2 linked regions of the Macaca mulatta genome follow. The protein of the gene in region 1 purifies or fractionates together with the protein of each later gene. This does not show direct contact. Links are inferred from orthologs where the notes say so. Each region holds a gene or a part of one and is shown on either strand. Other genes may lie near its edges.

The links. The genes of interacting proteins can lie anywhere in the genome.
Region 2: the proteins of SF3B4 (region 1) and DDX42 purify together in Homo sapiens (affinity purification with mass spectrometry; 3 studies listed by BioGRID and IntAct, with this or other methods). This does not show direct contact. The link is inferred for Macaca mulatta from reciprocal best matches to the Homo sapiens genes SF3B4 and DDX42.

Annotation. Positions count from the first base shown.
Region 1 is NC_133406.1:117,227,393-117,231,367, forward strand, and holds the start of SF3B4 (splicing factor 3B subunit 4), read left to right. Parts: upstream 1-1,175; 5' UTR 1,176-1,227; coding exon 1,228-1,261; intron 1,262-1,693; coding exon 1,694-1,822; intron 1,823-2,060; coding exon 2,061-2,603; intron 2,604-2,932; coding exon 2,933-3,139; intron 3,140-3,975. UniProt on the Homo sapiens protein: Component of the 17S U2 SnRNP complex of the spliceosome, a large ribonucleoprotein complex that removes introns from transcribed pre-mRNAs.
Region 2 is NC_133421.1:73,599,115-73,602,635, forward strand, and holds part of DDX42 (ATP-dependent RNA helicase DDX42), read left to right. Parts: intron 1-837; coding exon 838-942; intron 943-2,345; coding exon 2,346-2,465; intron 2,466-3,521. UniProt on the Homo sapiens protein: ATP-dependent RNA helicase that binds to partially double-stranded RNAs (dsRNAs) in order to unwind RNA secondary structures. Unwinding is promoted in the presence of single-strand binding proteins.

The DNA.
Region 1 (3,975 bases):
CTTAGTTCCTACGGATATTTTTGTTTCTTGTCATTTGAAGGATTAAGAAACAAAAACAATCCAGAAATTGATCGGTTTTTTTAGACCAGTTCCATCCCTTCTGGATAACCAGATGTTAAATCGTGAGATCAGAGATGCTGTTCATCAGTCCCAACAAGATGGCCTACAGATCGCATTCTCACCTCGCCTTGCTGCTGCTTTAATTCCAACTTCTATTTCTTCCCTTATAGTTTTCTATGGGAATGAGGCGGATACAGGAAACACCCTGTCTCCTCTGTATTTTTGTAGCGGAATTTTCTATTTAAGGGGCTCATTAAAGCATAGTATTTATACACATTACTGGCATTGTTTCTTGTGTTTGAATAAAGGATTCTCCTAGGTAGGAAAGTGGTGGGTAAAAGGTGGGTATGATCCAAGAGAGGAAGGCATCTACTGTATTATTGCTAAGGAAATAGGGGAACTGGATTTGGTGAGACTCTGCAGAATTCAAGTGCAGTTTGGGGAAAGGATTCTGTGTGTGTCTCCCATTTAGAGGCAGATGGGGCCAGATTGTTCTAGAGATCCAGACTGAAGTCTCTGAGCTCCGATCCTATCCACCCCTCACCTGTGGTCACACACCACCTTGGAGCAGCCCTCACCCTCCCCATGCAATTACGACGAGATGAGCGCAGACGTCACTCCAGCTCAGACATTTCGCAGTCTCCTCCCCGAGGGAAAACCAAATACCTCCAGCCCAAATCAGGGCTGTTGAGGCCAAATCTGCAAGAAGGTTGCAGGCGAGATGGAGGGTTCCCTCTGCGCCTGAAAGCAGCCAAGTCCTCGGGTTGGGGGGACTCTTCAGCACATCCTTCTCTGGACAACAAAACATCATCACTGGCTACAAAATACATGAAAACTGAAGTTTTTGTTCTTTTAGCTTTCGAATTTACATTTTTGGGAGCAGTGTGATTCTTTCAAGTCTAGCAGTGCATTAAGACGGTCTGAGCGTTTCCGTTCCGCCCTCCTCGCTAAGACCACTAGCAGCAGCACCTCTGCGCGGGTGCCGAGGACTCCACCGCCCAACCCGAGTTAAGTCTTGGAGGCTCCTAAAATGGCTGCAGCCGCTTCCAGGCCCCTCCTCTTCCGCGGCTCCGCCCAGCGCTACGTCCTCCTTCGCCCCGGAAGTGGAAGTCGTGCTGAGGTCAGAAGGCGGAACCGCTGCTGGGAGACGGCGGGAGCTCTTTCGCCATGGCTGCCGGGCCGATCTCCGAGCGGAACCAGGGTAACTGGAGGGGGAAAGTCTGGAATGGGCTCAGCGTGGCTAGGAGGCCCCTACTACAGCCAGAAGTGCCTCTGCAGGGGTGGGAGACTGGACTCATCCATTCCCCAGAGGGCGCGAGACCGGCCCCGTGCCTCCTGGGGGCGGGGTGGCCAGGTGCTGGCTGAGGCCTGTGGGTGTGATACTTACGTCCAATCCCCTGCTGAGTTCTCACTCAAAAAAACAAAAAAATCCACTCAGAATACTAAATTAGACTTCAGAGGATTCCTGAAGTCCTGGAGAGAGAAGTTTAAGGGTTTAACTTTTTTTTTTTGCTCCTGTCCCCTACCCGCGTCCCCAGTTCCCCCGGTTGGGTTCCATCTTCATGTTTCCATCACCTCCTTCTTTCATGTTATACTCTCACCCTTGCTCTAACTTTCTGCTCCCTCCCTTCAGATGCCACTGTGTACGTGGGGGGCCTGGATGAGAAGGTTAGTGAACCACTGCTGTGGGAACTGTTTCTCCAGGCTGGACCAGTAGTCAACACCCACATGCCAAAGGATAGAGTCACTGGCCAGCACCAAGGTGAGTACATGACAAGGGGCAATTTGCTTCCGGAGGGTCCCGGCAGTATTCACAACTGTTTTGGAATAACATGAGCAACCTAAAGTATTTCTTTCTTTTAAGCCTCTGTTCAGTTTATTTCTGGAACCATTCTTAAGTGAGATTGTTTCTTTCTTGTTCTTTGTGATTAGAGGGTAGATGAGTTTTACCCCATTTTCAATCTCTTATGTTGTTAACCTCCTCTTCTCCACTTCTCCAGGCTATGGCTTTGTGGAATTCTTGAGTGAGGAAGATGCTGACTATGCCATTAAGATCATGAACATGATCAAACTCTATGGGAAGCCAATACGGGTGAACAAAGCATCAGCCCACAACAAAAACCTGGATGTAGGGGCCAACATTTTCATTGGGAACCTGGACCCTGAGATTGATGAGAAGTTGCTTTATGATACTTTCAGCGCTTTTGGGGTCATCTTACAAACCCCCAAGATTATGCGGGACCCTGACACAGGCAACTCCAAAGGTTATGCCTTTATTAATTTTGCTTCATTTGATGCTTCGGATGCAGCAATTGAAGCCATGAATGGGCAGTACCTCTGTAACCGCCCTATCACCGTATCTTATGCCTTCAAGAAGGACTCCAAGGGTGAGCGCCATGGCTCAGCAGCCGAACGACTTCTGGCAGCTCAGAACCCGCTCTCCCAGGCTGACCGCCCTCATCAGCTGTTTGCAGATGCACCTCCTCCACCCTCTGCCCCCAATCCTGTGGTATCATCATTGGGGTCTGGGCTTCCTCCACCAGGTAAAGCTTTTGGTTAAAATTTGTTTGTCTTAAGGTTGGGGGAGAGAGTCAGGAGGAAGAAAAAAAGAGCCTGAAAGGGGGATGGGACATGGAGTCAGTGAGTGATGGGAAGAGGACTGAGGGGTGATGGTAGTGGTGGAGAAGAAAGTTGTTGGGTTTCTTTAGGAGGGTGAAGTTGGTTGACTTTTCTAACATTGCTTTTGATTTTAGAGCACTGGGAGGAGGGGGAAAGAGCTCACCCTGCCCAGAGAGGCCAGATCAGGACAGGCTCTTTAAAGACATTTTCTCCTCACTACCATTAACTTTTCCTTTTTCCATTTCCTCTATAGGCATGCCTCCTCCTGGCTCCTTCCCACCCCCAGTGCCACCTCCTGGAGCCCTCCCACCTGGGATACCCCCAGCCATGCCCCCACCACCTATGCCTCCTGGAGCTGCAGGACATGGCCCCCCATCGGCAGGAACCCCAGGGGCAGGACATCCTGGTCATGGACACTCACATCCTCACCCATTCCCACCAGGTGGGATGCCCCATCCAGGTAGGTGTGCTTTGTTGGGAGGGAAGAGCTTGGTAGAGCATCTCTGTTACCTCTCACCCTGCTGCCCTTTGTTCCTCAACAGTAACAGTTTCAGAGTTTCCTTTCCTTCAGACATTCTATTATAAAAACATACAAAATACTCTCTAACATCCACCTCCCTGTATCCATTTCTTAAGTTTTTCTGACAAGAAGACTATACTTGCTGGTTTTTATTTCTTTAACCTTTAGTTCCATTCTCTTCTCTGACTCCAGCTCAAAGTGGTGACCTAATTGCCAAATCTCAGGGACACTTCTCCTCCTTATCTAGTTTGACCTCTGATGTACTTGAAACTAGTCGTGTCCTCCTGTTTGAAATTCTCGTCTCTTTTTGCTTTTGCTTTTCTAGATCCTCCACCCCTCTGACTCCTTAATCTCAGCTACCATGATAGACTCTTGTCTACTTGTGCCTAGATTTTTGTGCTTGTTTCTCTTTTCTGCATATATCTATAGTTTTAATTGAGCATATACTGATGCCTCCTAGATCTGTATCTCTAGTCCATAGCTGTTGACATTCCGGATCCTTAATGCTTTAATGCTGCTGCTTAATAGATAGCGTCATTTTTCTGTCCCTCTCCTTCAAACCCATTCTTTCTCTAGCAGTCTTTTTTTTCAGGTGCTTAATTCATGAATCTGAGAGTGATGTTTGACTGCTCCCTATCACCCCACTCTTAATACCAAGTCTTATTTAATATCAGTGGCATCTCTCCCCATGGCCAGTGCCCTAGTTCAGTCTCTCATTCCCTCATTATTTAACACTTAATTTATTGTAGTAATCTCCTTCCACTTGGACTCCAGTT
Region 2 (3,521 bases), on another chromosome or scaffold:
GCCCAGGAGTCTAGCCTGGGCAACATAGCAAGACCCTGTCACTGAAAAAAAAATTTTTTTTATAAAAAATAATTTAGCCAAATTGATAGGTGGTGGTGTGCTTATGTTTTGTATACCTAGTACAGTAAGCTATGAAAAGAATAATACAAGTGACTACTACTCTCTCTGGAATTGGAAATGCTTGGCCATACATTTTTTAAAAGTTACAAACAGCTCCACGTTTTTAAACAGAATAGAACTCCCTCTAAAAGCAGAACTATCTCCAAAAGAAATATTAGGAATGTTTTTAAATGCTTAGAGCTAGGTTAAACAGCTTAATTCAAAACATATTTAAATGTTATATGGTGAAATATCTTCTCTGTCCTCTGAGGTCTTTGGCATTATAGAGATTCCTTAGTCTCCTTCAAGCTTGTTCAAATTCGAGGTTTCCTTAAGAGTCTCTTTAGGAAGTAGGTTGGTGTTAGGCCAGGCACAGTGGCTCATGCCTGTAATCCCAGCTACTTGGGAGGCTGAGGTGGCATGAGAATTGTTTGAACCTGGGAGGCGGAGGCTGCAGTGAGCCAGGATTGCACCACTGCACTACTGGCTGGGTGACAGAGCGAGACTGTGTGTCAACCAAAAAAAGAAGTAGGTTGGTGTTTATATTGAAAATAGGAACAGAAAACAAATTATCTGTACTTTTTAGGATCTAAGTTGAGAATAAATTAATTTTTTTGCTTTCTCTAGCTGGAATGGCTTTACTTGTGTATTATTTGGAAAAGATTATTTTGCATTAAAGTCAAACTTACAGAATTGACTCTTGAATTCTAGACTAACTTTGAATAATTGGACCTGCAGATTGACTATCCACCATTTGAAAAAAACTTTTACAATGAGCATGAAGAGATAACCAACCTCACTCCACAGCAGTTAATAGATCTCCGACATAAGCTCAATCTTCGGGTAAGACAATCATTAAGCTCAGTATTCTTATATCAATGTTAATTAGTCCAGATTTAGTATTATTATTGGTTATCTAAACTAATAACCTTGAATTTCTTTTCTAGTGATCTCTGAACTGTCTTTGCCAGAATAATTATTATGTCCCTTCTGTTCACGTCTCTTAATTTGATTGTTTTAGTCTTCTAGATGCTGTTTTAGGATAAGATCATTTTCTTCTTTCATATTTCAGTGAATTTTGTATGTTCTGTGCTGGATGGGCTAGTGATGAAGGGTGGGAGTCCCCATCTAAAGGAAGAGGAAACAAAATTAATAGATGTTAACATATGATATCTTAGAATATTTTGAAATTAATATAAACTTGTCTGTCAAATTACATATAGTATGCTTTATTTTAAAAATTAGAATAAATTAATACCTTTTAAAATACACATGCACTGATTTCAGAATGGTTTAAACTGCCTACCAAAAGTTTTGAGCTGCACATTGGCTACATTGGTTTAAGGTGCTGATAGATGGTAAATGAAACACACAGAAAGAATATGCTATGCTATCTACTCTTAATATAGACAACTTTCTTGCCTGTGTGCACCTTATCAGTTGCTACACGATGTTTAAACTCCTGTTTTCCAGGAGGGGTGTGTATTTGGTGTGTGTACACTTGTCTGTTTTCCAAGAGGTACTCACCTCCCCAATGACCCAAGAAAATTTTTAAGTAAAACGTTTAACATTTTTTTCACTTAAAAATTTTTAAGTGAAATCCTGACTGGAAATGTCAGCATCACCAGAGGAGCGTTGAAAGGTTACTACTTTGGGGGACACAATGGAGATTATAAGCCCCATTCTTCACCTGGGTACAGTTTGAACAGGGCTTGACAGTGGCTAGACCATCAGTCACTAAGGGAGACGTTAATTCATCAGGCACAACTGAAAATGGAGGCAGTAGATTATGTCTTTGTAGCCAGCATATGTAGAGTTGTCTTATTTGGAGCCAACTTGGAATTTTCATTTCAAAAGTAAGATACGTTAATTTTTTTCTACCCTCTGGTTAATGGTTATGTAAAATGGCAAAAGAAAGAACAGTAATGACTTCCCAATTCATTGAACAGTTTTTTTTCCATTTTGTTTGTTATGAGAAAATTAATTTTGATTTAATAAATTTTTAGTTAATCATTTAAAATTGTATGACAATTATCTTGGGAATATTTGTCATGGAGTTTTTAATATGGGGTTTATATTTGTTACCATTTGAGGTTTTGCCTTTTCATTGTATGATTTTGGCTTACAGACTTGTATTTTCACTTCATACTCCAGCTAAAATGCTAGATCCAGGTAAGTATTGTTGAACTTCAAATGCTGTTAATGTTGAAGTACAAGTCATTCTGGGGAGTTGTCTCTATCTCTAGGTCTCTGGTGCTGCACCTCCTAGACCAGGAAGTAGCTTTGCTCATTTTGGGTTTGACGAACAACTTATGCACCAGATTCGGAAATCTGAATACACACAGCCCACTCCAATACAGTGTCAGGTACGTAAAACATAATGAAAGAAAAATAAAGTAGGGTAATCTTTTGTGACTATATTAGTTTAAAAACAAATCACAGTAGTAAAACTGTTTAGTGTAGAACCTTATTGATAAGGATAGAGGTATTTATTACTCTAAGAAGTCACTAAATGGCTGGCAAATATTCTTTTGTATCTGATACATATCTTGAAAATATGATATGAAGAAAATAATTTATTAGGTCTAAACGTAACCATAAAGGTTTGTATATGGACAAGTTTAGTGCTGTCAATGACTAGAATTCCCTTGTCCATCACTTGAAAATTCTCATTCATTACTGAAAGTTTTAGCTTCTTTTTCCCATTTATATATGGGACTTATTTATTCTTATGAAGAAAATTCTCATTTTCTGTATATGAATGAGATAGTCTATACCTCCTCAAGGGGAGAAAATTTTTAAAAATTTTAGCAACCCTTCATTATAAATTGCGATCTTTCTGGTTTTTTTTTTTTTTTTTTTTTTTTTTTTGAAGACGGAGTCTCACTCTGTTGTCCAGGCTGGAGTGCAGTGGTGCGATCTTGGCTCACTGCAACCTCTGCCTCCCAGGTTCAAGCAATTTTCCTGCTTCAGCCTCCCGAGTAGGTGAGATTACAGGCGTATGCCACCACACCTGGCTAATTTTTTGTATTTTAGTAGAGATGGGGTTTCACCATGTTGCCCAGGCTGGTCTCGAGCTCCTGAGCTCAAGCAGCCTGCCCACCTCGGCCTCCCGAAGTGCTGGGATTACAGACGTGAGCCACTGCCCAGCCTTGATTTTTCATTTCTGTATTTTAAACAAAATGGAGTTGTTTCAGTTCTGTAAGTGGTGGCTGATATCCACATAATGAGAATGATGTCATTTCCTATAAATTAAGAAGTTAATGAGAATGTTGGATATTGATATTTCTATTTCACAACCAGTATGCATAGCACCGGATATGTTTTGTTCCATTGCATATAAAAATGTCATTAGTAGTCATTTATCCTTCCCCAGGATTTGCTTCAGTACACCTTTAGAATTGAAATTTTAGAGTGGTTAT